2 linked regions of the Stegostoma tigrinum genome follow. The protein of the gene in region 1 purifies or fractionates together with the protein of each later gene. This does not show direct contact. Links are inferred from orthologs where the notes say so. Each region holds a gene or a part of one and is shown on either strand. Other genes may lie near its edges. The genes, in order: wasf2 and brk1.

Region 1 (15,051 bases):
TAATGCAATTACAAGTTGTGCACTGAAATATGACACAGCAAACAATAGGTATAAAATAATTTGGTGTGCTGCTCTGTACAGTGCATGAGTTTCTGTAAAAATCACAAACCTTTGAAATCTAACAAGATTCTTAATGACCAATTTAAACTAAGATAAATATCATTGATGTTTTCATACACCACAGGCTGAAATGTTAGAACTATGAACAATTCAGCTCGTGTGAACATTGTCTAATGCCCAAGCAAGGTGTCAAAAACAGTTGTGTAGCAGTGCTCACCAGCTGCACGTCTGCACAATTTCCTACAGACTTCTGCAAAATTTACGCTTCCTTAATGTCAGCTACGTCACAATTTGAGCAGTTTTTCCAGAGACGTACCAAATTTTCCAAATATTTCAAAACCATTTTAAAGAAATAAAGTAGCAGCAAACTGAATTTGAAAGTAAACCATTTTGGGAGATCTGTCTAAATGGCTTGTATTTCAATAGCTGGTTCACAGATTGTAGCCGAATTGTTTTATGAAGTATTTTTATCTTCCCGTCCCAACCTACACACAGCTGTCAATTGATAAGGAGTAAACTTCTTCCCATCCCCCACGTGCTAACTGCAAACCACCAGCACACTTCCTGTTGGATGATTTCAGTTTGATTATTTGCCCCACCCATCTGCAATGTTTGTAGCACTGCGGCACATTTATATACGGTTCAGCAACTAAACAATACAAATTCCTTGCAATCATCTGGTTTGAAAAATTGTTTTTGTTTGGAAATATAATAAAATGGCCAAAAACACGTAAGCTGAGTGGAGAATGCTCAAAACAACTGACAAAACCGTTCATGGAGATCTTCATACTATATCTGGAAAGTGCAAAGATGTTGAGATGTTGATAAAATGAGAACACAACACTCAACCTTCATCTCTGAAATATGATGGCAGGCAAATCAATCAGGAGAAGAGTCAAGAGGGTGTTTGAAAACTGCTAGACACAAGGTTAGGTTCACTGGCAGCTGACAAACAAAAAGTCAGGGTAACTTGAGATTACACCAAACATCGAAAATGTATGCTATTCGATCCATCAAGCCTTCGTCACCATGATCGCAGCTATTCCTACACCTCAAGAGCATACTCTGCTGCCTTTAGTCTCTATTTGTTTGTTCTATTTGTTTCTTAAACTGTTCAGTAACTGCTCCACTGATTTTGGTGGCAGAGAACTCTGCAGGCTCACCACACAGTGAATCGCAATCCAAAGTGGGTCTACTCTGTATCCTAAGATTGTGACCTCCTCCTCAGGACTTCCCAGCCAGGGTAAACATCTTACTTGCATCCAGTATGTCCAGACCTGTCAATTTAATGTTTCAATGAGATCCCCTCTCATTCTAAACTCCAGTGAATACCAGCCCGGAGAACCCAATCTCTCCTCATACGACAAATCTGCGACCACAGAAATCAGTCTGGTGAACCTTTAAAAGAAACTTGTTAGAAGGATTGCAGTATACCAAGAGATGGGGGGAGAAAAAAAACACACAATACTCCAGGTTTGGTCTCATCAAGGCAGCATACAGAATCAGAAGGACTTTCTTGCTCTTCTCCTCAAATCCTCTTGCAATGAATGCCAACATACTACCTGTTTTCCTAACTGCATGTTGCATCCACATTTCTGTGACTGACACACAAGGATAGCCATGTCCTTTTGTGCATCATTTCCCAACATCACCACTTAAAACAATGCACTGCCATTCTACATTTCCCATGAAAATGGATAACTTCACACCTATCACATTACAATAATTCTGCTGTGCATTTGCCCACTTGCATCCTGTCTAAATCACTGCGGTGGAGAATTCTATTTATCATAATTGGCCACATGGTAAGACAGCTGGCAAATTGCACACTTGGAAATATATTACAGGGGGTTAAACAAGGTTTGTTTGTTCTAAATCTTAAGTTTGAGAAACAACCAGTTTCAAGCAGCATGGTTGAAAAAGAAACACTTACCAATCTATAACAGAAAAAAATTCACATAAGAGCATCTGATAGAACCTTGCAGCCAATGTACAGAGGAAACTTTGTTTTTGTCAATGGGACATTAGCATGGTAATTCCAGCACACACTGCTAATCCTCAAAGGACTCCAAGTTGGGTAGGTTTCCCACTCTCTCAAACTGAGAAAGACCATGGTGCTCTAGGTACATTGATAATTCTGTTAAGAAGAAAACTTCAAGTTTTTGAACAGTGATTTAATCCCAACTTGATTTAGCAAGCCTTGGAGAGAATCAGAATTGTGTCTTTGCACATCTGGTGCCCTTGCTTATTCAGATAATTGAGGTATTAGTTTGAAAGCTGCTGAAGGAGTCATGGTGAATTACAGCAATATGTATGCTGCTGTCATCGGTGAGGGGTTGAACTTTTCACATGGAGAATAGGGTACAGAGCAAGTCTCCTTTCTCCTCAGTGGCGTCAAGCTATTGATCATTGTTGGAGCTGCACCGATCCAGACAAACGGAACATATTCCATCACAGTCATGACTTATTCTTCATAGAAGATGCAGCTTTGGCAGTCAATAGGTGATTGTATTCATTTGACCTACTCTTGTAGCCACACCATTTATATGGTCGATAAGATTCAGTTTCATATTTTTGGTAATATGATGAGATGGTCATTGCCTGGCACTTGTGTGGTAAAAGTGTTACTTATCTCTTATTAGCTGAAGCTTAAATAATGTCCCAGCCCTGTTACATTTGGACAAATTGAATATCTCAATTTCTGGCCTTGTGATGGAGGGAAGGTCATTGATGGAGCCATTCAAGATGGTTGGGCAGAGAACATGCCCTGAAGAATTCCTGTGCCAGTTTCATGGAAGTGAGATGACAGGCCTTCAACAAACACTGCAATCTTCCTTAAGGTTAAATGTGGCTTCAGCCAGTGGAGAGATTTTTTTGATTCCCACCAACTTAAATTTTATGAGGGGTCCCTAACATATTACAAGCAACTGGTTATTCTGTTGACTACAAAAGCAAGAATAAAGTGGAGTCAGATCACAGGGAAGCCATGATTGATTTTCAGAGCTCTGAACCCACACCATCCAGCAAAATAGAAAGAAATGATAAAAGCCAAGTAAGAATACGGCAGTGGCTCAGTGGTTAGCACTGCAGCCTCACAGCGCCAGGGACCCGGGTTCGATTCCCACCTTGGGCGACTGTCTGTGTGGAGTTTGCACATTCTCCCCGTGTTTGCGTGGGTTTTCTCCGGGTGCTCCAGTTTCCTCCCACAGTCCAAAGATGTGCAGGTTAGGTGGATTGGCCTTGCTAAATTGCCCGTACTGTTCAGGGGTGTGTGGATTATACAGGGTAGTTCTGGGTGGGATGCTTCAAGGGTAGGTGTGGACTTGTTGGGCTGAAGGGCCTGTTTCCACACTGTAGGGGATCTAAGAATCTAATCTAAATAAGATCAGTTATAACTTTTGTTATTCATTTTGGTGAGCATCTGATTGGAATATCAATTATTATATATAAAAATTAGCCTTACTGCATGTGACAAACTAACTTCAAATTATACTGAAGGGAAGGAAAAACATGTTTTGAACATCTGCTGTCAATCTCACTTTGTGCTAGCTTTCACAGCAACATTTTGTACATTTGGAGTTACATAGTTTTCACTCAGTTAGCATTTACAAAAAATGCAGTACAAGCTGGCATATTTTTGTCACAGAGGTCAAAGATGATTGAATTTTTCAAATCCTATTTACCAGATTAATTATACAACTGCTTAATTTATGAAACAGTTTAGAGTTGCATGCCATGTATAGACTTTAGTAGATTCTGAAATTAAGATTTCAATATCAAGCGGTCTTAATTGAACAGATAACAATTTAGGAGTCAAACATCATAACTCCTGCACTACCTGCGACAATTAAAAACAACACAAAATGTAACCAACAAGGTTCGTCGTACTCCTCTTCTTAAAAGGATTGAGCATAAAATCATTGAGGAAACTACACAAAACAAAAAAACTTCCATTGTATGTAAACAGAAGTACATGCTGTAATCAAGAAACAAGCTAATGTTTCTTCATATAAACAAATTATCTAATTACATTTACCCCCGCTGTTCCTATTCTCTTTATCCACCTCTCCAATCTAATCTCAAAAGCTAACACAGCTCAGTATATCCAGCCAAATATTTCAGAGAGTCTGGTCAGCTTCATTATTCTCTTGTCTCAACAATTACAAAATTAATCGTTTATGCTTGTTACGCTAAGTTTATGATGTGCAAAGGTTATTAAATGCTACAGTCGAAACATTTGTATTTGCAAAAACACATCCCTTTAAGTTCATGAGATAATGGGAACTGCAGATGCTGGAGATTCCAAGATAATAAAATGTGAGGCTGGATGAACACAGCAGGCCAAGCCGCATCTCAGGAGCACAAAAGCTGACGTTTCGGGCCTAGACCCTTCATCAGAGAGCTCTGATGAAGGGTCTAGGCCCGAAACGTCAGCTTTTGTGCTCCTGAGATGCGGCTTGGCCTGCTGTGTTCATCCAGCCTCACATTTTATTATCCCTTTAAGTTCATGCCCATTTACAGCAAATCATAGCACAAGGATGCCCATCAAACCATTGTCTCTAGGTCCAGATAATATTTATAACTCCAGTCAAAATGCCTTTAAGTCATGTAATTTGCTACTTTCAGCATACAGACAGCAAATTCAGTGTCACACAACCTAGCCTACACATTAAATGAAGAATTAAAATATTTAACAGTGCCTCAAGAATTTATTGAGGTCAATGTTTACTGTAAAATAGAATGCATTGAAGAACATTTAAAAATATCTGATGTTGCCTGGTTTAATGACACTCTTCAGTTTACCTTATTTAAATACTATATAATTCAAAAACATTTTCCAGCTAACTTCGCAGAATTATGGTTAAGTAAAACTGCCTGGACACAGTAGGTAGCTGAAATTAGCACAGGTATTACATGTGCTCATCTAACGTTTTCTGATGGGCATACTAGTGTCAGCAGAGCAACAGTCTTCCTTAAATCCTGATAATGGTGTATATTCTGCAGGAACGTCAGCCATGGCAGTTTACAGCAGTCTCACTTCACTGTCATAAGGTATGAGATTCAGTTCCCACCCCAGGGCTTCAGGAGAAAAGTCAAAAGACTCAGTCCAATGCTGCACCAAGGGAGCACTGCTGTAACAAAGGTCACTATTTAATCACAAGTTGGCTGTTGTGTTTCCTACGCTATAAATGACTAGGCTTCAGAAGCAGAGATAACAAAAAATTTCAGAAAATTTTCTGAAAAAGGGTCTAGGCCCGAAACTTCAGCCTTCCTGCTCGACCTGTGTTCATCCAGCTCTACACCTTGTTATCTCAGATTCTCCAGCATTTGCAGTTCCTACTATCTCTGAAGGCTTCAGAAGAACTCCACTTGTCAGGTAGTCTTGAAATATGGTATATAAAGGCAGGTCTTTTTCCTTTATTTCATCCTCATGCTCCTATGAGGAAGCAAGTTAAAAGGTCCGGGCAGAAGAATTCTTAGATGACAGACTGGAGTGGATGGGGGTAACTATATTTTGCTTTTTCCTCTTTCCTTAACCCCCATGAGAAAAATCTGACAATGATGCTCCAGGGCTGTTAAATGTATTACCAAGGGATCCTTTAACTCTGAATCAGTGTCAATGACATTAAATACGAACATACCAAACAGAAATTTGGATTGTCCAAAGACTAATCAGAAATAGCCTGTGGCGAATAAAATTTCCATGTTGCCTTCAGAGCAACACATTTCTTAAAAATCTTAGAGACTTCAAATTCCAAGAGCTTACTATCCTTTGTAAAGGCCCCAAAGGCTTCAGCGAGTTAATGCCAAAGATTGCTTTTTAATTTACCACCCGAAATTTGGCTGTGGTGTAGAAGCCCACCTTGCCCTGAGATTCAAAGCAATAACACCAAGTTTTTAGGAGCAAACATCTTCAACATGAAGATATGCAACCTCCAACTTACTGCCAGCTCCTAAAGTAATTTAATTACTTACAAGTCCCACGATCAGAAGAAAAATAAACATTGTGGCCAGTATGCAGTCCAGGTCTGGTGTTTGGTCAATTAACAAGACAACTAACTAGATTACAAGTCAATTTCTTTCCCCCCACCCCGCTCCAGTCTTTTTATAGTAAATCTACACAACATTTTGAAGATTTCTGATTACATCAGATTCTGATGTGTTGCATCTGTTAATTGCAACTTCTGGCTCTAGAAAAAGCTTACATTTTTAGACTTCAAAACGCAGCTTGAAACTAATCAGATTCAAATGTCTTCCCTCAACATACATTACATACAAAAGCAATGGCTTGTGGGAAGACAAGAATAGCTGCGTACACACCCAAGTATGACTCAATGATTGGAATGGCTGTGCAAACGTTCAACATTATGACATGCCAACTTCTAACTTTGCAACAACATACCAGATTCTATTTTGACAAACAAATGTCTTTTTCTTGATAAGACAAGCCATGGGAAAGAAAGACATTTTGAAAGCTTCACAGTACTTTTTCTTTAAAAAACATTACACTAAAAACCAGGGCAACAAAATATATTTTCTTTAGGAAATTCCATCAAATTACAAAGTTCAACTTTATTTCAAATAATCCAATTGAGGAAGAATAAAAAGTATGAGAAATGAGGTGCCTTCCTTAACAGCAGACAGAAAGGTTAAATTCACCACAATCCGGAACAAAGTATTTCCCCCTTCCTCAAAATGAAAGTTTAAATGACCAAAGTGGGCAATTGCACAAAGCTTTGCCTGAAATTGAAACATTTTGGCAATTTTTCCCATCTCTTATGTCAAGAAAATCTAACCAGTTTATGGCCATTGATTTTCAACACCAAACAAATACAACTTTCAATAATGTCAAGGCAAATATTACTAAACTCTTAAATAGTACAAAGAACTGCAGATGCTAGAGATCTGAAACAAACAGAAGTTGCTGCAGAAACTCATGTGGCAGCATCTGTGGGAGAAAACAGTTAATGTTTCATGTCTTCTGTCCACTCTTCAGAACAGATTCTGAAGGAGCTACAGGACTCTGAATGTTGCGCTTTCTCTCCACCAATGCTGCATAAACTCATAGCTGCCAAACCTATCTCTGTTTTTGTTTTTTGCAAAGCCTTCTTTTCCTCAATTATTTTCAGTTGCAGGCCCCAGGATGAGTCCTCAATGCTGATTGATGTCAACAGGGTTCAATTTTTGCACTGGTTGTAGTGGTATAAGAGGCCATTGGGCCCATTGTATCTGCACCAGCTCAATAAACTAGCATCATTACCTCACGCCAACCTCCAGCTTTTCTATCATTTCCTAGCACATTATTTTCATCTAAATAATCAATCATTCAGTGCCCTGTTGGGTGGGGGGAGGCAGCGAGGGGCGGGGGTGGGGGGGTGGAAGCGGTGAGGGGTGGGGTGGAGGTGGAAGCGGTGAGGGAGGGGGTGGGTGAGGGGAGGCGGGGAGGGGGGGAGAGGGCTGGAGGCGGAGGGGGGGTGGAAGTGTAAGCGGTGAGGGGGGGGGATGGGTGAGGGGGGGAGAGGGCTGGAGGCGGTAGGGGGGGGGATGGGTGAGGGGAGGCGGGAGGGATGGGTGAGGGGAGGCGGGAGGGATGGGTGAGGGGAGGCGGTGGGGGGGTGGGGAGGGGAGGCGGTGGGGGGGGGAGGGCTGGAGGCGGTAGGGGGGTGGGGAGGGCTGGAGGCGGTAGGGGGATGGGTGAGGGGAGGCGGTGGTTGGGGGGGGTGAGGGGAGGCGGTGGGGGGGGGGGGGTGGGTGACACGGCTGCCCCCGGCTCCGGGTTGAACGCTCACTATTCGGCACAAACTGAAGCCGCGGCCCACCACACCAAGTTCGAAACCTCCGGGGCCGTAGCCCGAAACGGCCCAGATGAGAAGACGTGACAGACAGAAACTCACTCGAACTGATTGCCGACGCGAACCCGCATCTTAGAAGACAACCGCCATCCGCCCTGATTCCCCCCAACTCTCCACCATAGCCACACCCACACAGGGGATTCCAGATCCGCTTCCGGTACATCCGCATTCTGATTGGACAACGCAGCCGGCAATCATACTGACAGCACACGTTTGGTGGTGTGAGCGTGTATCCGCGTTTGATCCGGGAGAAACCATTACGGATGGAGGAGGGAGAAAAATATTTAATAACAATGAGATATACACTTAAAACAGGGGTAGCTCTTTTAATGCTTCATTGTTCCTGGTAAAAAATTAAAATCAAATTTTGCTAAGTCAGGACGGGACAAGAGGTTGACTAGAGAATTTCTTCTGGGACCTGTATATATTACGGTTTACCCCTCTTCATTGGGCGTTATGGTCTTTTCCAAATGTTGCACATACCTCAACAGGTCTGAGCAAAACCTGCAAAAATCGGGGAGGAAACACTGTCAGATTACAGAGAGGGGGGGGGGGGGGGAGAAACTGTCAGATTACAGAGAGTGGTGGGGGGGGGGAGAAACTGTCAGATTACAGAGAGTGGGTGGGGGGGAGAAACTGTCAGATTACAGAGAGTGGGGGGGGGAGAAACTGTCAGATTACAGAGGGGGGAACACTGTCAGATTACAGAGAGTGGGGGGGGGAGAAACTGTCAGATTACAGAGTGAGGGGAGGGGACACTGTCAGATTACAGAGTGTGGGGGGGGGAGAAACTGTCAGATTACAGAGAGTGGAGGGGGACACTGTCAGATTACAGAGTGTGGGGGGGGAACACTGTCAGATAACAGAGAGTGGGGGGGAGGCACTGTCAGATTACAGAGTGTGGGGGGGGAACACTGTCAGATTACAGAGAGTGGGGGGGAGGCACTGTCAGATTACAGAGTGTGGGGGGGGGACACTGTCAGATTACAGAGAGTGGGGGGGAGGCACTGTCAGATTACAGAGTGTGGGGGGAACACTGTCAGATTACAGAGAGTGGGGGGGAGGCACTGTCAGATTATGGGGGGGAACACTGTCAGATTACAGGGGGGAGGGGGACACTGTCAGATTACATAGAGTGGGGGGGCACTGTCAGATTACGGGGGGGAGACACTGTCAGATTACGGGGGGGAGACACTCAGATTACCGAGGGGGAGACACTGTCAGATTACAGAGAGTTGGGGGGGACACTGTCAGATTACAGAGAGTGGAGGGGGACACTGTCAGATTACAGAGTGTGGGGGGGGGAACACTGTCAGATTACAGAGAGTGGAGGGGGACACTGTCAGATTACAGAGAGTGGGGAGGGGGAGACACTGTCAGATTACAGAGAGTGGGGGGCGGACACTGTCATATTACAGAGAGTGGAGGGGGGACACTGTCAGATTACAGAGAGTTGGGGGGGGACACTGTCAGATTACAGAGAGTCAGGGGGGAACTGTCAGATTACAGAGAGTGGGCGGTGGGGGGGGGGGAAACACTGTCAGATTACAGAGAGTGGGGGGTGTTGGGTGGGATACACTGTCAGATTACAGAGAGTCAGGGGGAGACACTGTCAGATTACAGAGAGTGGGGGGGACACTGTCAGATTACGGGGGGGAGACACTGTCAGATTACGGGGGGGAGACACTCAGATTACAGGGGGGGAGACACTCAGATTACAGGGGGGGACACTGTCAGATTACAGAGAGTGGGGGGAAACACTGTCAGATTACAGAGAGTGGGGGGGACACTGTCAGATTACAGACAGTGGGGGGGAACACTGTCAGATTACAGACAGTGGGAGGGGAACACTGTCAGATTACGGGGGGAACACCATCATATTACAGAAAGTGGGGGGTGGAACACCGTCAGATTACGGGGGGGGGAACACCATCAGATTACAGAGAGTGGGGGGGAAACACCGTCAGATTACAGTGAGTGGGGGGGGGGGAACTGTCAGATTACAGACGGGGGGATCACCGTTAGATTACAGAGAGGGAGGAGGGACACCGTCAGATTATAGAGGGGGGGGAACACCTTCAGATTACAGAGAGGGGGGAACACTGTCAGATTACAGAGACGGGGGGAACACCGTCAGATTACAGAGGCCGGGGGACACCATCAGATTACACGGTGGGGCGGGGGGGAACACCGTTAGATTACAGGAGGGGATGCACTATCAGACTACATAGTTGGGGGACACCATCAGATTCCATACGGGGTGGGAACACCGTCAGATTACAGAGGGTTGGGGGACACCATCAGATTACAGGGGGGGAACACCGTCAGATTACAGAGAGGGGGACGCTGTTTGATTACAGAGAGAGGGGAACACTGTCAGATTACAGAGGGGGGGAATACTGTCAGATTACAGAGGGGGAAACACCGTCAGATTACAGAGAGGGGGACACTGTCTGATTACAGAGAGAGGGGAACACTGTCAGATTACAGCGGGGGGGAACACTGCCAGAAATACGGCGGGTGGGAGAATACTGCCAGAAATACAGAGTTGGGGGGAGCACGGTCATATTGTAGAGGGGGGGAATCACTGTCAGATTACCGGGGGGGGGGGGGGCGGGGGGGGGGGGATTCTACCAGATCACACAGCAGGACAGGGGGTGCCAGAACAGCCAGATTACAGAGGGTGGGAATCTACCAGATCACAGAGAGAGGGGATTCTGTCAGATCAAAGAAATAGAGGAGGAGACCGCCTGATTGCAGAGGGATGGGATATTGTCAGGTCACAGAGAGAGCAGGATCTACCAGATCACACATAGTGGGGGAAGGGTGGACTGTCAGATAACAGAGTGACGGAATATACTAGATCACAGATTGTGGGGGCAGGGACCATCAGATCACAGAGAGTAGGGCTATCTACCAGATCACTGGTAACGGAGAGACTTTCAGATCACAGAGAGAGAATGGGAACTGCCAGATCATATAGCTGCCAGGATATATATATAACTGCCAGGAAAGTTTAAGGAAGATATGCGTGGATAGTTCTTTACACAGAGGGTGGTGGGTGCCTGGAACGCGTTGCCAGCGGAGGTGGTAGACGCAGACACGTTAGCATCTTTTAAGATATATCTGGACAGGTACATGGATGAGCAGGGAGCAAATGGACACAGACCCTTAGAAAATAGATGACAGGTTAGACAGAGGATCTCGATCGACGCTGGCTTGGAGGGCCGAAGGCCTGTTCCTGTGCTGTAATTTTCTTTGTTTTCTTCTTTGTTGTATCACCGAGAGAGGTAAGGATCTACCAGATCACAGATAGTGGGGAGGCTGTCAGATCACAGAAAGTGATTCGGGAGGCGGGATCAACCAAATTGAAGATAGTGGGTGTGGGGATTGTCAGATAACAGGGCAGCATGGATAACTGCCAGATCATACAGAGAGAGTGTGGGGATTGTCAGATCACAAGAGAATGAGGGATATACCAGCTCACACAGAGAGTAGGGGAAGTGTCAGATGACAGAAGCAGAGCATGTGGGAGGCTATTAGATCACAGAGAAAGAACAAGGGACCTACCAGATCACAGACAGAGAGAGAGAGAGCATGGGGAAAGTGTTAGGTCACAGACAGAGAGATACAGAGAGGGAGGATAGGAGACAGAATGATGATAGAGCTTTGTGGCTCAGACTGGAGGCCTGTGATTAGCAGTGTGCCATGGGGATCAGTGCTATGTTTACTGTCGTTCATCATTTACAGAAATGATTTGGATAAGAATATAGGAGGCATGGCTAGTACTTCTGCAGATAACGCCAAAACAGTGTAGAAGGTTACCTCAGAGTGCAACAAGATCTTGATCAGCTGGGCCAATGGGCCAAGGAAGGTCAGAGGGATATTAATTCAGATGAATGTGAGGTATTGCATTTTGGTTAGACAAACCAGGACAGGACTTACACAGTTAATGGTATAGTCCTGGGGAATGTTGTAAGGCAGAAAGATCGAGGGTACAGCTACATAGTTCTTTGAAAGTGACCTCACAGGTAGAAAGGGTGGTGAAGAAAGTGTTTGGTACGCTTACCTTCATTGGTCAGAGCATTGAGTATAGGAGTTGGGACATCATGTTACAACTGTACCAGACGTTGGTAAGGCCACATGTGGAGAAATTCATACAATTCTAGTTGCCCTGCTATGGGAAGGATTTTATTAAATTGGAAATGGCACAAGAAAGATTTTCAGGAATGCTATCGAGACTGGGAGGTTTGAGGTAAAGGAGAGGCTGCATAGGCTGGGATTTTTGTTCCCCGGAGCATTGGAGGCTGAGAGGTGACCTCATAGAGGTTTATATAATAATGAAGGACATCCTTAAGGTGATTAGCCAAGGTCTTTTCCCCACGGTTGGGGAGTAGAGGGCATAGCTTTGAGGTGTCAGGGAAAAGACTTAAAAGGGACCTTAGTGGCAACTTTTTCACACAGAGGGTGCCAACTACATGGAACAAGCTGCCAGAAGTAGTAGTAGAGAAGAGTACAATTACAACACTTAAAAAGACATTCGGACAGGAAGGGTTTAGAGGGATATCAGCTAAATCGCTGGAAAATGTGACTAGTTCAGTTTAGGAAATCTGGTTGGCATGGATGTTTTGGGCCGAAGGGCCTGTTTCCGTGCTGTATGGCTCTGTGACTCTATGACTGTCAGATCACAGAGAGAGAGAGAGAGAGAGAAAGAGTGAAGTGGCACTGTCAAGTCACAGAGGGTGCGAGAGAAAGAGAAAGAGTGGGGGCTGCAAGAACGCAGAGAGAAAGAGAGAGAGTGAGGTCTGCAAGAACGCAGAGCGAGTGAAGTCTGCAAGAATGCAGAGAGAGAGGGGGCTGCAAGAACGCAGACAGAGAGAGAGTGGGGCTGCAAGAATGCAAAGAGAGAGAGTGAGGTGTGAGAGAGAGAGTGAGAAAGAGAAAGAGTGGGGGCTGCAAGAACGCAGAGAGAGAGACCGAGGGCTGCAAGAATGCAGAGAGAGTGGGGCTGCAAGAACGCAGAGAGAAAGCGAGAGAGTGAGGTCTGCAAGAACGCAGAGAGAGAGGGGGCTGCAAGAACGCCGACAGAGAGAGAGTAGGCTGTAAGAACACAGACAGAGAGAGAGTGGGGCTGCAAGAATGCAATGAGAGAGAGTGGGATGTGAGAGAGAGAGAGAGAAAGAGAAAGAGTGGGGGCTGCAAGAACGCAGAGAGAGAGACCGAGGGATGCAAGAATGCAGAGAGAGTGGGGGCTGCAAGAACGCAGAGAGAAAGCGAGAGAGTGAGGTCTGCAAGAACGCAGAGAGGGGGCTGCAAGAATGCAGAGAGAGTGGGGGCTGCAAGAACGCAGAGAGAAAGCGAGAGAGTGAGGTCTGCAAGAACGCAGAGAGGGGGCTGCAAGAATGCAGAGAGAGAGGGGGCTGCAAGAACACAGACAGAGAGAGAATGGGGGCTGCAAGAATGCAGAGAGAGAGAGTGAGGCCTGCAAGACCACAAGACGTCCTATATATGGTTATGGCCTGTTAATGTTCATTAACAAGAATCTAGGCCTTGACTCACTGTATTTCAAAACTAACTTTAGTAGATATTTAAAAAATTCTAGATGTGTGACAGGATATGTGACACCATTGAAATCATTAAAAAGTACCGCTGTAATTTGTGTTACATTTCAGCCTTCTGTCTGACGTTTTCCATTCATGCTTCACATTAGAAGTTACTGTTCATTGCCAACTAGTACCTCATATGTTAAGAGAAGCATTGTATTCCCAGGGTAAGCAATCAAACCCTTTATATCTGTTTTGAAAACAATATGAACCATTCTTGTAACTTCTTGTCTTGACAAAGACATTGGAAAGTTCTATTCTGATGGCTACACTATTTAATTAATATTATTAATTAAGTTAATTAATTAGTGTACTAATTAATATTTATTAAGGGACAGAAATAACACACAGAACAATTGGAACCAATAGTACTTTGTATTTACACAGCACCTTAAAAGTGGTAAAGATACTTTACAGAAACATTGAAAAGACAGATTTGACACTTATCCAGATATGAAGTAGTTCTAAGGAGTGTCTTTAATTAGCAGGAAGAGGCCTGGATGGGGAGATTTAAGAAAAGAATTCTGGAGATGAAGGCGGAGCAGTTAATATTGGGCAAAAAAACACTAAAATAACAGCAGATGCTGGGAATCATAAACAAAAAGAGAGATTACTGGAAAAGCTCAGCAGGTCCGGCAGCTTCTACTGGGTGAAATCAGAGTTAATGTTTCTGGTCCAGTGATCCTTCTTCTGAGTTTTTCCAGCATTTCGGTTTTTGCTGTTGATATTGGTATTGCTGAAGAGGCCAGAAATGAAGGAGCACAGAGAACATGGAGAGCTGTGTGGCTGGAGAATATTAACAGGAAAAACTAAATCAAGAGGCAGAATAACTGAAATTGTCACGTAGGGTCAAAAACATGAACTTTAATTTGCTTTATACAAATGCTGCAAGGCCTGCTGTGTATTTCTAGTATTTTCTGTTTTTATTTCAGATTTGTAACATTTGCTACAGTTTGCTTTTGATTTAGAAAGAGAACTGATCACTTTATTTCTGGCCTATACTTTAAAATAGCGATGAAAAATTCATATGTAAGCAATACTGTTTCTTGACTGACAACTGTGCAAGGAAGTGAAAGGCTGTTGGGAATAAACAGGAATGTGGTGTTATTAGATCAACCATGGACTTACTGAATGATGGAGCAATCATAAGCTCCCTTTCCGGATTCGTACTTTTCTATAAACAAGAAAAAAGTGGTAACTGCAAATGCAGGAAGTTAGAAACAAAAACAGTAATCGTAGAATCCCTACAGTGTGGAAGCAAGCCATTCAGCCCATCGAGTCTACACCAACTCTCCAAAGTATATCCCACCCAGACCCATCCCCTAAACTATAACCCTCCATTTCTCATGGCTAACCTACCTAACTTGCACATCCCTGGCACAATGGCCAATCCACCCTAACCTGCACATCCTTGGACTGTGTCAGAGATAGTAGGAACTACAGATGCTGGAGAATCTGGGATAACAAGGTGTAGAGCCTAGACCCTTCTTCAGCCTGAAACATCAGCTTTCCTGCATATGATACTGCTTGGCCTG
Region 2 (15,346 bases), on another chromosome or scaffold:
TGCACATTCTCCATGTCTGTGTGGGTTTCCGCCCACAGTCCAAAGATGTGCAGGTTAAGTGGATTGGCCATGCTAAATTGCCCTGAGCGTTCAGGGATGTGTAGACTAGGGGGATGGGTCTGGGTGGGATGCTCTGTGGGGCAGTGTGAATTTGTTAGGCTGAAGAGCCGGTTTCCACACTGTAGGGATTCTATGAACTAAGAATTTCCCAATTGTAAGGTTGATTTGAAAAGACTTTAATTTTCTGCAAGTATAATTGCATACATCCGTCCTTTACACGTGTACACTGTTTCCTCCAATTCAAACTTTGACACCTGGACAGCAGACTAACTGTCATGAATTTTCATGGCAGCAATCTCAAATGACTGCCTTTTCTTAAAGTCTCAAACTAATCTCTCATCTTGCTTTCGCTTAGATTCAGAAAGCTGCAATCACATCAGCTGCTCTACTTCACACACACACACACACTTTCATTTCTTGGGGTAGGAGGGAGCAAAGTAAAGATGGGACAGCAGGAAAGTTTGGGGGTCAATCTTTGACTTTAAATGGGAATCAAAAAAAGTAAATGATATATGAATTCTTACTGATTTAAAAATGCCCATTTTTTAAAAACAATAACCAATCTAACCTCTTCTAAAAGCTGAACGTATCTGTAGGAAAGTGATTAAGACATCACGACATTATTCCAAAAATAAAGCCAAGAAAGAGTTCCACTACATATTTTTTTAAAAAACCCAGCATTTTAAGCCTTGGTTGCAAGTCAGAACTGTCTGTTATTTACATCTGCTTTCCGGAGGCAGCTCAGCACAACTATGAGGAAGTGACCCAGTCCGTTGTCCGAGATAAAATAAAATTAATTGCTTGACTAGAATTGTTCCTCCCTGGTTGCACAGTAGCAGCAGTTACAAATAATAAGAGTTCAGAGTGGCAAGTTATGGCCCATATTAAGCTCATCTCATAGCTGAGATGAGAAACTCGCCGAGCTATGTTTGTGGGCAGGCCAGAGAGCGCGCTCGGAAATCAGGAAGGGAGCATTAATTGATTCTCACAAGTACTCAAACCACAGGCTACAAAAAAAAGCATAGGCAGAAGAAACAACACTTCAAAACTCAATCATATTATGAACCACACCAAACCCCCTCAAAATTAAGTTAGCCTTGACGCTAACTATTTTTTCTTTTAAAGGCAAGTGCCAGGTGTTGCATTCTGGATGCAATTTGATTGGTCAAACTATCAGATTTGGCGCAAAACACACTTTATTCATACACTAAAGTTAAATTACAATAAAAGAAAAAAAGAAATTGGAATAACTTAACTCTACTGGAAAACTGAACAGAACAATAGATCATGTTCCAGTATCATAACATCCCACAAACACACCCCTGTCAAATCCAGAAAACTTGATTGTCTGACAAGCAATTCTTCAGTCCAGGAGGAAAAACATCAAGAGAAAATTCTGAGAGAGAGGATAGCAGGGAAAGATGTACTGCAGCTTCCAAACCCAGATTAAAATTCAGCAACAGCTACCAAAAATCCTGGTTCTGTGGGAGCTTGGACCGCATTGCTGCAACTGTTTCTAACAAAAAAACCCCACACACACACACACACACACACACACATGGGCTTTCAATAGACAGCTTTGCAACTGTCTCAAGACCTCTCTTCAATGGAAAAACAACAGGTCAAAATACTCTTCTTAAAGCGATAGGATCAATCATTTCGGAACTTTCATTACAACTCGAAAGTCAACCTTATTCAAACAAATGCTTTCCCATTTAGGCAGGGCAACACAGCACCAGGGGTCTGGGTTCAATTCCAGCTAGAGTTTGCATTTTCTCCCTGTGCCTTCATGGGTTTCTGCTGTACACTAGTTTCCTCTCATAGTCCAAAGATGTGCACACTAGGTGGATTGGCCATGCTAAATGACGGGTTATAGGGATAGGGAGAGGGGTGGCTCAGGTTGGGATGCTCGTCAGAAGGTCATTGTGGACTTGATGGACTGAATGGTCTTGTTCCACACTGTAGGAATTCTATGAAATACACATGCTTATCTAACTACCAGACCTCCATCAGGTAAAACATTTGTACCCTATTAACACAACAAGCATATGGCATCAGATGATCACATTTTTACCTCAACTCAAGAAGGTGAAGAATTTGATTAGATTCCCTACAGTGTGGAAACAGGCCCTTTGGCCCAAGTCCACATCGGCCCTTGAAGCATCCCACCCAGACCCATCCCCCTATAACCCACACACCCCGAACACTACGGGCAATTTAGCATGGCCAATCCACCTAGCCTGCACATCTTTGGACTGTGGGAGGAAACGGAGCACCCAGAGGAAACCCACGCAGACATGGGGAGAATGTGCAAACTCCACACAGACAGTCACCTGGGGCTGGAATTGAACCTGGGTTCCTGGCGTTGTGAGGCTGCAGTGCTAACCACTGAGCCACCGTGCCGCCCCATTTGCTGGAAAATTATTCACAGTCTCTACTGAAGTATTGAAGTAGTGTTGGAAGTTAGGCAAGAGCGTTCCTGTCCTGCTAACAGGGTAAAGGAGACCTTAAAAAAGCTTCCTTTAACATGGAGATGGAATTCACTGATGTTACAGAATTATAGATGCTCTTCTTTACAGATTCCCAATTTGATGGCTATGAATGAACTGTTGCTTTAGACTTAACTAACACAAGGCAGCAGGTAATTCACAAAGAAAAAAATAGCAAACTTCAGGTAACAGATTATAAGTAATTAGATAGTATTGCAGCATTTTTCTCTTCACGACAGGATCTGAGGCACAGGATCGCATCATTCAGCTCAATCAGTCCATGCCATTTTTGACTGTAAGATGCAAGTGAAGAAACAGACCATTCAGCTCATTGAGTCTGTCCAGGAACCCAGTGAGATCACAACTAACCTAATAATCCTCAACTCCAGTTTCCTGCCTATTCCCCATACCCCTTACCAAATAAAACAAAAATCTCTCTCAGCCTGGAAATACTCTTAAAATGATGCAGACTCAACAGTTCTGTGCAATAAACTCAAGCTCACAATTGTCTGAAAGAAGAAATTCCTCCTCCTCTCTGTATTAATGGGCATACTGAGATTATACCCGCTTGTCCTAGACTTCCCACAAGAGGTTTATGAGCCCCCTCCTATCTTTCCTCAACTCAATCTGCCATTATAATCTTCTCCATCACAGGTTTGTCAGGTTTTTCTGCAAAGGTAAACTGATTTCCCTTGACCATCCCTGTGAAGTGAGTTCTGCAACTTGGGTAAAGATACTTCCTCTGAATTATTTACTTATCGGATTTCTGGTTACCATGTATCCCGATGGTCATTGTAAAGGGTCAAATTATTTTACAGCCCCTTGTTACACAGCAGTAGAGTCCCTGCATCTGGGTCAGCAGCTCCAGGTTCAAGTCAAAGAATCATACAATCCCTGCAGTGCCAATAGAGGCCATTTGTACCAGCCATCTGAACAGCATCTTACCTAGCCCCCTCATCCCTGTAACCCTGCATTTACCATGGCTAATCGACATGGCCTGCATGTCCCTACAAGTTCCCACCTGCTCCAAAGCATCGTAACATGTCTGAACAGGTTGAGTGAAAAATATCAATGATCAACTGATAATGAACAAAGAACAATACAGCACAGGAACAGGCTCTTCACCCCTCCAAAACTGTGCTGGCACATTTTACCCTTCCATACGAAGTAAAAATGCTTGCCTTCACTGGAAGAGGCAATGAGTAAATGGATAGGCAACTTATGCTGCAGCTTTATATGCGAAATCTGCAAGGCCTATATCATATCTCATATGTTAACCAAGAACAGAACATACTGAATAAGCTTAAGGGGGTATGCAATGAATGGTATGACACCAGGAAGCTCAGGGGAACTGATGGATCTTGTGGTGTTGGTCTATCAATCCCTGAAGGTGACAGGACAGGTTAATGGGGTAGCTATGGCAGCGTACAGGACGCCTGCCTTCATCAGTCATGACAGATTATAGCAGCAGAGAGGTTATGTTAAAACTGTACAGGGCTTTGGTTAGGCCAGGTCGGGGTAGTGTGTGCAGATCTGGTCACCTGACTGCGGGAAGGACTGATTGCATTGGAAAGGGTGCAAAGGAGATTCACCTGGACACTGTTCTCAGCTGAAATGTTCCAACCCGGACTGAGGCTGGATATGCTCAGGATGTTTTGTTTTTGGAGAACAGAATGGTGAGGACGGAATATGATAGGGGTGTATAAGATTGCAGAGAGGGGTAGAAAAACTTGAGTCAGAGTACAGAAACAGACATTTCAGCCCAACTCATCCACGCCAACCAGATTTTCTAACTTGAACTGGCATTTGGTCTAAACCTTTCCTATCCACGTGCGCACAGATGGGACTAGTTCGGAATGGCATCACTGTCAGCACAGACATGGCGGGCTTAAGGAATGTTCCTGTGCTGTACTTTTCTGTGGGCTTTGAGGCACACAGACAGTGAATAGAAAACATCTGTTCCCCTTAATGGAAGGGACAACAACAACAAGGGAACATAATTCAAAACTGAAAGGCAGGTGTAAAGGACATTTGAGGAAAACCTTTTGACTGAGTGCGATGAGGCTCTGCAATGTGTTGTCTGGGAGGGTAGCTTCACAACCTCTACAAAGTATTTGGATGAGCATATCATCTTTGCTCATATGAGCAAAGTGTCACAACTTTCAAGGATACGGGCCCAGTGCAGGATAGTGGGACTGGTGTAAATAGTAGTTCATTTTTGGTAGTAAGACGCAGAGTCATAGAGATATGCAACATAGCAACAGTCCCTTCGGTCCAAGTTCATCACACCAAGCAGATACCTTAAATTAATCTAGTCCAATTTGTCAGCATTTGGCCCATATCTCTCCAAACCCTTCCTAATCATGTATCCATTCAGCTGCTTTTCAATGCTGTAACTGTATCAGCCTCCACCACCTCACGTAGCTTATTCCATACATGCACAACCCTCTGCATGAAAAAGTTCCTTCTTAGATCCCTTTTATGTCTTTCTCTTCTCACCTTAAAAGCTACGTTCTCTATTTTGGATTCCCCTACCCTGGGAAAATGACTTTGGCTATTTACCTTAATAAAAGCCCATCTTGACTTGATAGAGGTCGAAGGGTCTCTTACAAAGAATACAGCACAGGAGCAGGCCCTTCAAGACCATACTAACACTTTTTGCCCTTCCATACCAAAACTGTCTTCACTTACAGGATCCATATTCCTCTATTCCCTTCCTATTCATATATTCATCTCCGTGCTTATCGAATGTTGCTACTGTGTTTACTTCCACCACCTCCTCTGGCAGTGTGTTCCAGGTACTCACCACCTCTTGTGTGCACAGCAAGTTTTTCACATCTCTTAAGCTTCCCTCCCCATCACACCTTCAATGCGTGTCCCCTAGTAATTGACTTCTTCACCCTGGGAAAAATCCTCATACTTTCCACTCTATCTTATAAACTTCTATCAGCTTGCCCCTCAATCTCCTGCTTGCCAGGGGAAACAAATTCAGTCTATCCAAACTTTCTTCATAGCTAGAAGCCCCCATACCAGGCAACATCCTTGTATGCGTTTTCTGTATCCTCTCCAAAGCATCCACTTCCTTCTGGTGACCAGAACTGTATGCGATATTCCAAGCGTGGCCTAACTAAAGATCTATAAAGCTGCAGCACAACTTGTCTATCCTTTTACTCAATGCCTCTTCTACGCTGTATGCTGATAATTTTTGAAGCAATCTGGTGGCATCTGGGAAGAGAGAAAGAATTAGGATTTTAAGTCTGGTAAGACTTCTTCAGTAGTGAGGTCATGTAGATTTCGAAACGCAAACGCTGCTTCTCTCCACAGGTGCTGCCAGACCTGCTGAATTTTTTCCAGCACTTTTGTTCTTCTTTCAGACCTCCAACACCACTGTTTTGCTTTTATTAAACATAACTAAGACATGACATTACAATTACGTCCATTACGCAGAACAGTTTAAAACCAGTTAAACGTCCAGACTGCATTAAGTGAGTTCGTCTCACTGGTAAGTGGGGCATTCGAATTAGCTTCAGTAACCCCTGTCTGAAGGCCAGCCGAGACGAGCTTGCTCCACTCTGGTCAAATAGCTACTAGCCCTCTGATTCACACACGAACGACAGGGCGAGGCGACTGATAGGCAAAAAGGAAGCACAGCTCAATTTGGAACGTCTCTTCCGTTCGTCACCGCCCCATCGCGAAATAACCCTTTAAAACGATCTCTGGAGAGTAAATGCAAATTTAACTTCCTCCCTACCGTCGACAGTTAAAGCCAGCGACAAACGTAGGACATCAGCTGAACCAGGCCCTACGTTCCTGGCACCCAGTAAGTCAGACTTAAACAGGAAGCAATGCTTTGGTGGGTGCGCTGTCACCGGAGGCTTCTTACCGAATGAATTCAGGAAATCCGCGATCTTCTTGATGCTGCTGGTGATCACTTCAATGTATTCCCTGTTGGCCCAGTCCTGATGGATCTCCCTCTGAACCGGATCCCCCTGCCCCGCCATAGCCCAAAGAACAAACGAGTTCTCCCTCCCCTCTCCTCCTCCCGGACCGGAACGCCCTGATACTGTAATCGCTGCGTTGATTGGACAGAGCAACACAAAACCCGGCCATCTAGACAATCTTATTGGTCACATACGACCCAGAGACGCGAGTTCCTCGAAGACTATTGGACAGAAGTGGAACTGGAGGTGCGGGAAAGGCGAGACAAGATTTTCCATTGGCAGAACGTAAAAGATGGTACCGCCTTTCCGTGGAAATAAAAATCCTATTGGTCAGTCTATTGGCGAGAACTTTGATTGGTGGAGATTTTAGAGTGGGTGTGGAAAAGTGGCGAGGGTGAGAACCGTTCAATTGCTCGAAAGGAAGATCGAAGATTTGGAGGATTGCTGAAGTTATGAGAGGGCGGGGTGACAATTACCAGTTGGTTTCAAACTCATTCAGAAAGAGAGAAACAGTAATAGATATGAAGGCAACAAAATATTAAAATACTGGTGCTGGAGCTCAGAAATTTAAAAAAAGTCAGAAATTGTTGGGAAAAGCTCATCCTTGGAGAAACAGTGGTATCAGATCCAGCTGATTGGTAAAATGTGCAGTCTCTTTCTTTGGAACCTTGTGTTTCCAAAAATGCAGTATCAAAGTTAGAGTCTTTAGACATCACCAAACGTTCCAACCATTATGACGTTGCCATCCCGCTGTATCGAGTTGTTGTTGCATGGACATTGACACATTCGCCTAGTAGGTAACCAGGCAACCGAACGCAATTTTCATGCCTCACCGAATAAATACATCATATCAGGAGGCTAAGAACGTGCGACTTGACCAAACAGCCCCTACCTTCCAGGTTTTTTTTTCATCCTGATCCCCTTGGATCGGAAAGGTGAGCGTTTCCGAAAAATATGTTGCTTCAGGTCAAGTCTAGTTCCCATCGAACCATCCTCAAAATGGCAAACCACCGTCCCCTCACCCGACTACAGGTTTCCACAATGCTAGCACGGCGTCATCTCCCAATCACTTCGCCAAACGTCGCGATTTCATTTTAATCAACTTGTCCGAATGTGTATAACACACCCTATGGAGCATGCAAAACTAGTGTGCCAGCTTTCCGACTGGGAGGTAGGGACAATATCAGTGCACGATGAGAGCCCATTCACCAATTTGTGTAATGATTAAACAAGGGGTAAATTTAGACAATTATGAAAATTGCAAAGGGGGCAGAAGCATGGTTGAAACAGATGAACTAGGAATAGGCCATTCTACCCCTGAAGCAAGCTTCACCATTTAATGAAGTTATGGCTGATGTGATTGAGATCTCAACTTTCCTGTATATCTTTTTACTCCCTACTTAGTCAAGAATTTATCAAAATCAGCGTTAAAAAAAATCAGAGAGCCTTAGGAAGAGAGTTCCCAGACTCACAACCTTATGAGAAAGCATTTTTCTCTTCATCTGTATTTTAACTAAGAGAGCTGTTTTAAACTGTAACCCATCATATGGACTCTCCCAAATTGGGAAACATATGTTGGGCATCCATCAGGATATGTTTCAAAAAGATCACCTCTCATTCTTCCAAACTCCAATGGCCACAGACTTAGCCTGTACATTATTTCTTCAAAGTAATTTACCCCACCTTCATTCCAAGAACTTTCTCTGCACTGCTTCCAATGCAAATCATGTTTTTTCTTCCCCATAAGTAGGGAGATCAAAACTGTACACAGAACTCTAGATGTGGTCTCACCAGCACTCTGTACAACTGTAGCAAACTTTTCATACATTTATATTCCGTCCTCCTTGCAATTAGCAAAAGAAAATGTTCAATTTGCCTTTTGAATCACTTAATGTAGCTGCATTATATAGAAAGAATTTAGACTAGATTCCCTACAGTGTGGAAACAGGCCCTTCGGCCCAACAAGTCCACACCACCCCTTGAAGCAGCCCACCCAGACCCATTCCCCTATTACCCACACATCCCTGAACATTATGGGCAATTTAGCATGGCCGATCCACATAGCCTGCACATCTTTGGACTGTGGGAGGAAACCGGAGCACCTGGAGGAAACCCATACAGAACACAGGGAGAATGTGCGAACTCCGCACAGACAGTCACCCAAGGGTGGAATCGAACCTGGGTCCCTGGCACTGTGAGGCTGCAGTGCTAACCACTGAGCCATCGTGCCGCCCATAATGGGATGTGATGCACTGGAGGACCTGCAGAGGAGATTCACCAGGATGTTGCCTGGGATGAAGCAGTTTAGCCACATAGAGGCTGGATGAGCTCAGGTTGTTTAAGAAGATTGAGGGATGACCTGTTTGAGGTGATAACACAGTGTGGAGCTGGAGGAACACAGCATGCCTGGCAGCATCAGAGGAGCAGGAAAGTTAACATTTCAGATCAGAACCCTTCAGAGTGTATTGGATTACAAGGGCTATGGACAGATTGGAACGGAAGCAGCTGTTCCCCTTTGTTGAAAGGACATAACAAGGGGGCTTTATTTAGAAGGTGAAGGAGAAGAGTCTGAGAGGGAATTTGATGAAAAATCTTTTCAGCTAGAGGATGGTAGGAACCTGAAAATGCATTGCGTGGGAGGGAAGTTGAGGTAGGAAACCTTGCAACCTTTAAAACATTTGTGGATGAGCATTTGAAATGCCTTAACATTCAAGGCTATGGGCCAAGTACTGGAAAGTGGGATTGGTGTCAAGTTTGGTGCAGACTTGATGGCCTGAAGGGCCTCTTCTGTACTGTATGACATTATGACTGAATGTTGTGATTCTTGTACCAAGAGATCCTTATTCCTCTGTACTGTAGAGTTCTGCCATCGCTCTCCATTTAAACAATGTTATGTTTTTGTACGTGAGTTTAAACTAAACCTGCCGAGTTTTTGCCCTTCACCTATTTATATCCCTTTGCAGACTCCGTATGTCTTCTTCACAACTTAATACAGTGCCTTTCTGGCATCAAAAGCTGGTTATACAGTCAGTGATAATGGGAACTGCAGATGCTGGTGAATCCGAGATAACAAAGTGTGGGGCTGGATGAACACGGCAGGCCAAGCAGCATCTTAGTAAAACAATTTTCCAATTTTCTTTCTCATTTTCGCATATCATCCTCACTCGTTCCAATTTATTTCTTTGTAGTTTTGGTTCATCCTCCTTGGAAATAGCAAAGGTCCCGCACAGGAGTATATTCAGACAAAAACTGACATCTAACCAACAGAATCATTAGAAGAGGTGACAAAACTCCCACGGTCCAAGACATACCTGTCTCAGTGCCTTAAAAGAAGAGACAGAGGCAAAGAGATTTGGGGAGGGAATTTTAAAGCTTAAGGCCTTGAAAGCTGAAGGTAATACTGCCAAACACTGGTAAAAAGAATGGGGGGGGGGGGGTGGAGGGGGTGGATAATTGCTCTTGTCCTAACTTTTAAACATTGGTACTGCAGCAATAAAAAAAAGTCTGAAACATTAAAATAATAACACAGAATTGTTACAATGCAGAAGTACGCCATTCAACCCATTCATGTCTACTCAGACTTTTCATAATTTTGACTACTTCAATTAGACTAGTTTTTAATTTCAGATTTTTATTGAATTCAATTTTCAAGTCCTGCCATGACAAGATTTGAGCCTAAGTCCCCAGATGGCATCCTGGGGTTCTGAATTATTAGGTCAGTGATATTACCATGACACCAGTACCTTCACTTCAAATTGGCGCCTTGCTCTTGTACCCTGTGCTTCTTGTTTATGAAGCCTAGGCTATTATATGTTTCATGAGTACTCTCAGCCGATCCTGTCACTTTTAATGACTTATGCACTTAATATACCAACGTCCCTCTGCTTTTTATTCCTAAATTCATCCACAGGATGTGGGCTAGTGCCAGCATTTATTGCCCATCCCTAATTACCCAGAAGGCAGTTAAAAATCAACTACATTGCTGGGGGTCTGGAGTCACATGTAGGCCATACCAGATAAAGATGGAAGATTTTTAGCAGAGGCAAGTTTTTCACACAAAGGGTGGTGAGTGCCTGAAAGACACTGCTACGAGTGGTGGTGGAAGCAAACACAGTAGCAACATTCAAGAAGCACCTGGACAAATACATGAATAGAGGTGTATGGATCCTGTAAGTGAAGACAGTTTTAGTATGGAACAGCAAAACGGTTCAGGCTTGGACGGTCAAAGGACCTGTTCTTGTGCTGTATTATTCTTTGTCTTCCTTGCCCGAAAGTGAATCAGATGTGTTTTTCCTTGCCATTGTCAATAGTTTCACAGTCATCATTAGACTCTTCTTTCCAGATTTTTATAGAGTAAAATTCCACCATTTGTTATGATGTGATTTGAACCTGGGTCCCGGGAATGTTATGAGGCCCTCTGGATTAATGGTCGAGCGATAATGCCACTAAATCATTGCCTTTTTTTTCATCCTTTATATAATTTCTCCATGGCTTTACCAAAATCTATCATTTTGCAATTCACTGCATTGAACTTCACTTGCCAACAATCTTCCCACTCACCAAATTTTTTATGTCCTTCTGAACAGCACCTTTTCGTAAGTGGCTAGAGATGGGGCACGGTATAGTTCCAGTTCAGTCTGTCCGGAATTTTCACTTGCAGAAATTTCCACTCCAGCAATACTTAATCACTAAGCATGGATTAAAGCCAGGAATGTACAAGTCCAAAATTGGGGTGGAGATGGGGATGAGAAAAGCTATAGAGGTATTTGAATGCAAGGATAAGTAGTTTTGAAATTTAGCCTTCTTCTAATAGGGTGCCGTGATTGCTCTAAATTAATGACATATGGTAGTTGTTGCATTTTGAGTTTAACATTATATGACAGTGCAAATGTCAAAAATAATCTTCAAATGCAATTGGATTTTTTTCCACCATAACCATAAATAACTTGACAATTCCCCTCTTTTCATGAACCTGATCTTTTGGGATCTTTACAATTGAAGATGACCACCTATCAAGTGTGGCATCCCTGGACTCCATTTGAGGATCATTTTCAATGGGTCAGATACGGTCGCAAGTCCCTTCAGAAACGAGATGGAACGGAGATCATACAGATGTCTTCACCATCAGACCAAGAAGTGGCCCTCTACCTGCAAAATGACGTCGCAACTGATGACTGGAATCTCTTGGATCTTCTAGGGGACACAGGGAAACTCACTTCTGAGATGTGCCACACTTCAGAAGATGAATATGATAATGCAACAATCATACATAAACCTCATCCCGTCAAACTCAGCTCCGTTGATTCTGTATTTGGGAGAGCTATCACCAGCAGAGCACCAAAACTTGCAGGGGGCTTTCGTGCTTCAGAAAGCTCAGCTTTTACTGAGATCAGCATCGATTCCCCCATACCGACTTTAACTGCACGGTATAAAATTAATTTTATCATGATGTTTTATAGGCAATTATTAAGGCTTGTCACCTTGATTTACACAGCTTACCAGAAATGTTTTTACCTGTTACAACATCAAATTTGATACTTTACTAAACTTGTTTCTTAAAAGACTTTTTAAAATAAAAATAAAGTGAACTTTTTTCCCATTACTTCTCTCTACAGATTCCTTCAGCCAGAGCAGTAGCATGCGCAGAGCTTTCCTGTAACTACTGTAGTTGCTGGGTAGAAGGTAGCTGTTATTTTTCTTAGGGATACACAAACACGTGAGATATTTATCTCCCCTTAGCCTTTGAACCATTTTCTTTTTAAAAGCAAAATCAACCATTGGGCAAGAAGTAGTTTGACATCAGGCTACTATTCCTGCTCTGTGTGTGTACAAGTGGAATTAATGAGGTGGCCAAGTGGTATTATCACTAGATAATAGGAACTGCAGATGCTGGAGAATCCAAGATAATAAAATGTGAGGCTGGATGAGCACAGCAGGCCAAGCAGCATCTCAGGAGCACAAAAGCTGACGTTTCGGGCCTAGACCCTTCATCAGACAGGGGGATGGGGTGAGGGTTCTGGAATAAATAGGGAGAGAGGGGGAGGCGGACCGAAGATGGAGAGAAAAGAAGATAGGTGGATAGAGTATAGGTGGGGAGGCAGGGAGGGGATAGGTCAGTCCAGGGAAGACGGACAGGTCAAGGAGGTGGGATGAGGTTAGTAGGTAGATGGGGGTGCGGCTTGGGGTGGGGGGAAGGGATGGGTGAGAGGAAGAACAGGTTAGGGAGGCAGAGACAGGTTGGACTGGTTTTGGGATGCACTGGGTGGAGGGGAAGAGCTGGGCTGGTTGTGTGGTGCAGTGGGGGGAGGAGACGAACTGGGCTGGTTTAGGGATGCAGTTGGGGAAGGGGAGATTTTGAAACTGGTGAAGTCCACATTGATACCTGAAACTGGTGAAGTCCACATTGATATCAATATCTTGACATCAATGTGGACTTCACCAGTTTCAAAATCTCCCCTTCCCCAACTGCATCCCTAAACCAGCCCAGTTCATCCCCTCCCGCCACTGCACCACACAACCAGCCCAGCTCTTCCCCTCCACCCAGTGCATCCCAAAACCAGTCCAACCTGTCTCTGCCTCCCTAACCTGTTCTTCCTCTCACCCATCCCTTCCCCCCACCCCAAGCTGCACCCCCATCTACCTACTAACCTCATCCCACCTCCTTGACCTGTCCGTCTTCCCTGGACTGACCTATCCCCTCCCTACCTCCCCACCTATACTCTATCCACCTATCTTCTTTTCTCTCCATCTTTGGTCCGCCTCCCCCTCTCTCCCTATTTATTCCAGAACCCTCACCCCATCCCCCTCTCTGATGAAGGGTCTAGGCCCGAAACGTCAGCTTTTGTGCTCCTGAGATGCTGCTTGGCCTGCTGTGCTCATCCAGCCTCACATTTTATTATCTTGGTATTATCACTAGATTTTTTTAAATCCAGAAACTCAGCTAATGTTCTGAGGATCCTGGTTCGAATCCCACCACAGCAGACAGTGGAATTTGAATTCGATTTTTTAAAAAAATCTGGAATTAAGAATCTGCTGGTGACTATGAAACCAAATGTCGGAAAAACACATCTCGTTCACCAACGTCCTTCAGGAAAGGAAATCTGCCACCTTCACCTGGTCAAGCTGAGATGGAGCCCACAGCAATGTGGTTGACTCTCAGTTGCCCTCTGAAATGGTCTGGCAAGCCATTCAGTTGTACAAATCACAATGAAGTTTCAAAGAAATGAAATAGAACATAGAACATAGAACAGTACAGCACAGAACAGGCCCTTCAGCCCACAATGTTGTGCCGACCATTGATCCTCATGTATGCACCCTCAAATTTCTGTGACCATATGCATGTCCAGCAGTCTCTTAAATGACCCCAATGACCTTGCTTCCACAACTGCTGCTGGCAACGCATTCCATGCTCTCACAACTCTCTGCGTAAAGAACCTGCCTCTGACATCCCCTCTATACTTTCCACCAACCAGCTTAAAACTATGACCCCTCGTGCTAGCCATTTCTGCCCTGGGAAATAGTCTCTGGCTATCAACTCTATCCATGCCTCTCATTATCTTGTATACCTCAATTAGGTCACCTCTCCTCCTCCTTTTCTCCAATGAAAAGAGACCGAGCTCAGTCAACCTCTCTTCATAAGATAAGCCCTCCAGTCCAGGCAGCATCCTGGTAAACCTCCTCTGAACCCTCTCCAAAGCATCCACATCTTTCCTATAATAGGGCGCCCAGAACTGGACGCAGTATTCCAAGTGCAGTCTAACCAAAGTTTTATAGAGCTGCAACAAGATCTCACGACTCTTAAACTCAATCCCCCTGTTAATGAAAGCCAAAACACCATATGCTTTCTTAACAACCCTGTCCACTTGGGTGGCCATTTTAAGGGATCTATGTATCTGCACACCAAGATCCCTCTGTTCCTCCACGCTGCCAAGAATCCTATCCTTAATCCTGTACTCAGCTTTCAAATTCGACCTTCCAAAATGCATCACCTCGCATTTATCCAGGTTGAACTCCATCTGCCACCTCTCAGCCCATCTCTGCATCCTGTCAATGTCCCGCTGCAGCCTACAACAGCCCTCTACACTGTCAACGACACCTCCGACCTTTGTGTCGTCTGCAAACTTGCTGACCCATCCTTCAATTCCCTCGTCCAAGTCATTAATAAAAATTACAAACAGTAGAGGCCCAAGGACAGAGCCCTGTGGAACCCCACTCACCACTGACTTCCAGGCAGAATATTTTCCTTCTACTAGCACTCGCTGTCTTCTGTTGGCCAGCCAATTCTGTATCCAAGCAGCTAAGTTCCCCTGTATCCCATTCCTCCTGACCTTCTGAATGAGCCTTCCATGGGGAACCTTATCAAATGCCTTACTGAAGTCCATATACACCACATCCACAGCTCGACCCTCATCAACCTTTCTAGTCACATCCTCAAAAAAACTCGATAAGGTTTGTAAGGCATGACCTACCCCTCACAAAGCCGTGTTGACTGTATTTGATCAAGCCATGCTCTTCCAGATGGTCATAAATCTTATCCCTCAGAATCCTTTCTAACACCTTGCAGACGACAGACGTGAGACTTACCGGTCTATAATTGCCGGGGATTTCCCTATTTCCTTTCTTGAAGAGAGGAATTACATTTGCCTCTCTCCAGTCCTCAGGTACGACTCCAGTGGAGAGCGAGGATGCAAAGATCTTCGCAAGTGGCGAAGCAATTGCATTTCTCGCTTCCCAAAGCAGCCGAGGACAAATCTGATCCGGGCCTGGCGACTTGTCAATCTTAATGTTTGACAAAATTTTCAGCACATCAGCTTCCTCTATCTCTATCCATTCCAGCATGCACACCTGCTCTTCAAA

Evidence for each region.
Region 2: the proteins of wasf2 (region 1) and brk1 purify together in Homo sapiens (co-immunoprecipitation; 3 studies listed by BioGRID and IntAct, with this or other methods). This does not show direct contact. The link is inferred for Stegostoma tigrinum from reciprocal best matches to the Homo sapiens genes WASF2 and BRK1.

Annotation. Positions count from the first base shown.
Region 1 is NC_081377.1:43,674,441-43,689,491, forward strand, and holds the start of wasf2 (wiskott-Aldrich syndrome protein family member 2), read right to left. Parts: upstream 8,090-15,051; 5' UTR 7,956-8,089; intron 1-7,955. UniProt on the Homo sapiens protein: Downstream effector molecule involved in the transmission of signals from tyrosine kinase receptors and small GTPases to the actin cytoskeleton. Promotes formation of actin filaments. Part of the WAVE complex that regulates lamellipodia formation.
Region 2 is NC_081364.1:11,921,971-11,937,316, forward strand, and holds the start of brk1 (probable protein BRICK1), read right to left. Parts: upstream 6,607-15,346; 5' UTR 6,551-6,606; coding exon 6,433-6,550; intron 1-6,432. Other genes in the region: FANCD2 opposite strand protein-like, read left to right, coding at 11,492-12,025. UniProt on the Homo sapiens protein: Involved in regulation of actin and microtubule organization. Part of a WAVE complex that activates the Arp2/3 complex. As component of the WAVE1 complex, required for BDNF-NTRK2 endocytic trafficking and signaling from early endosomes.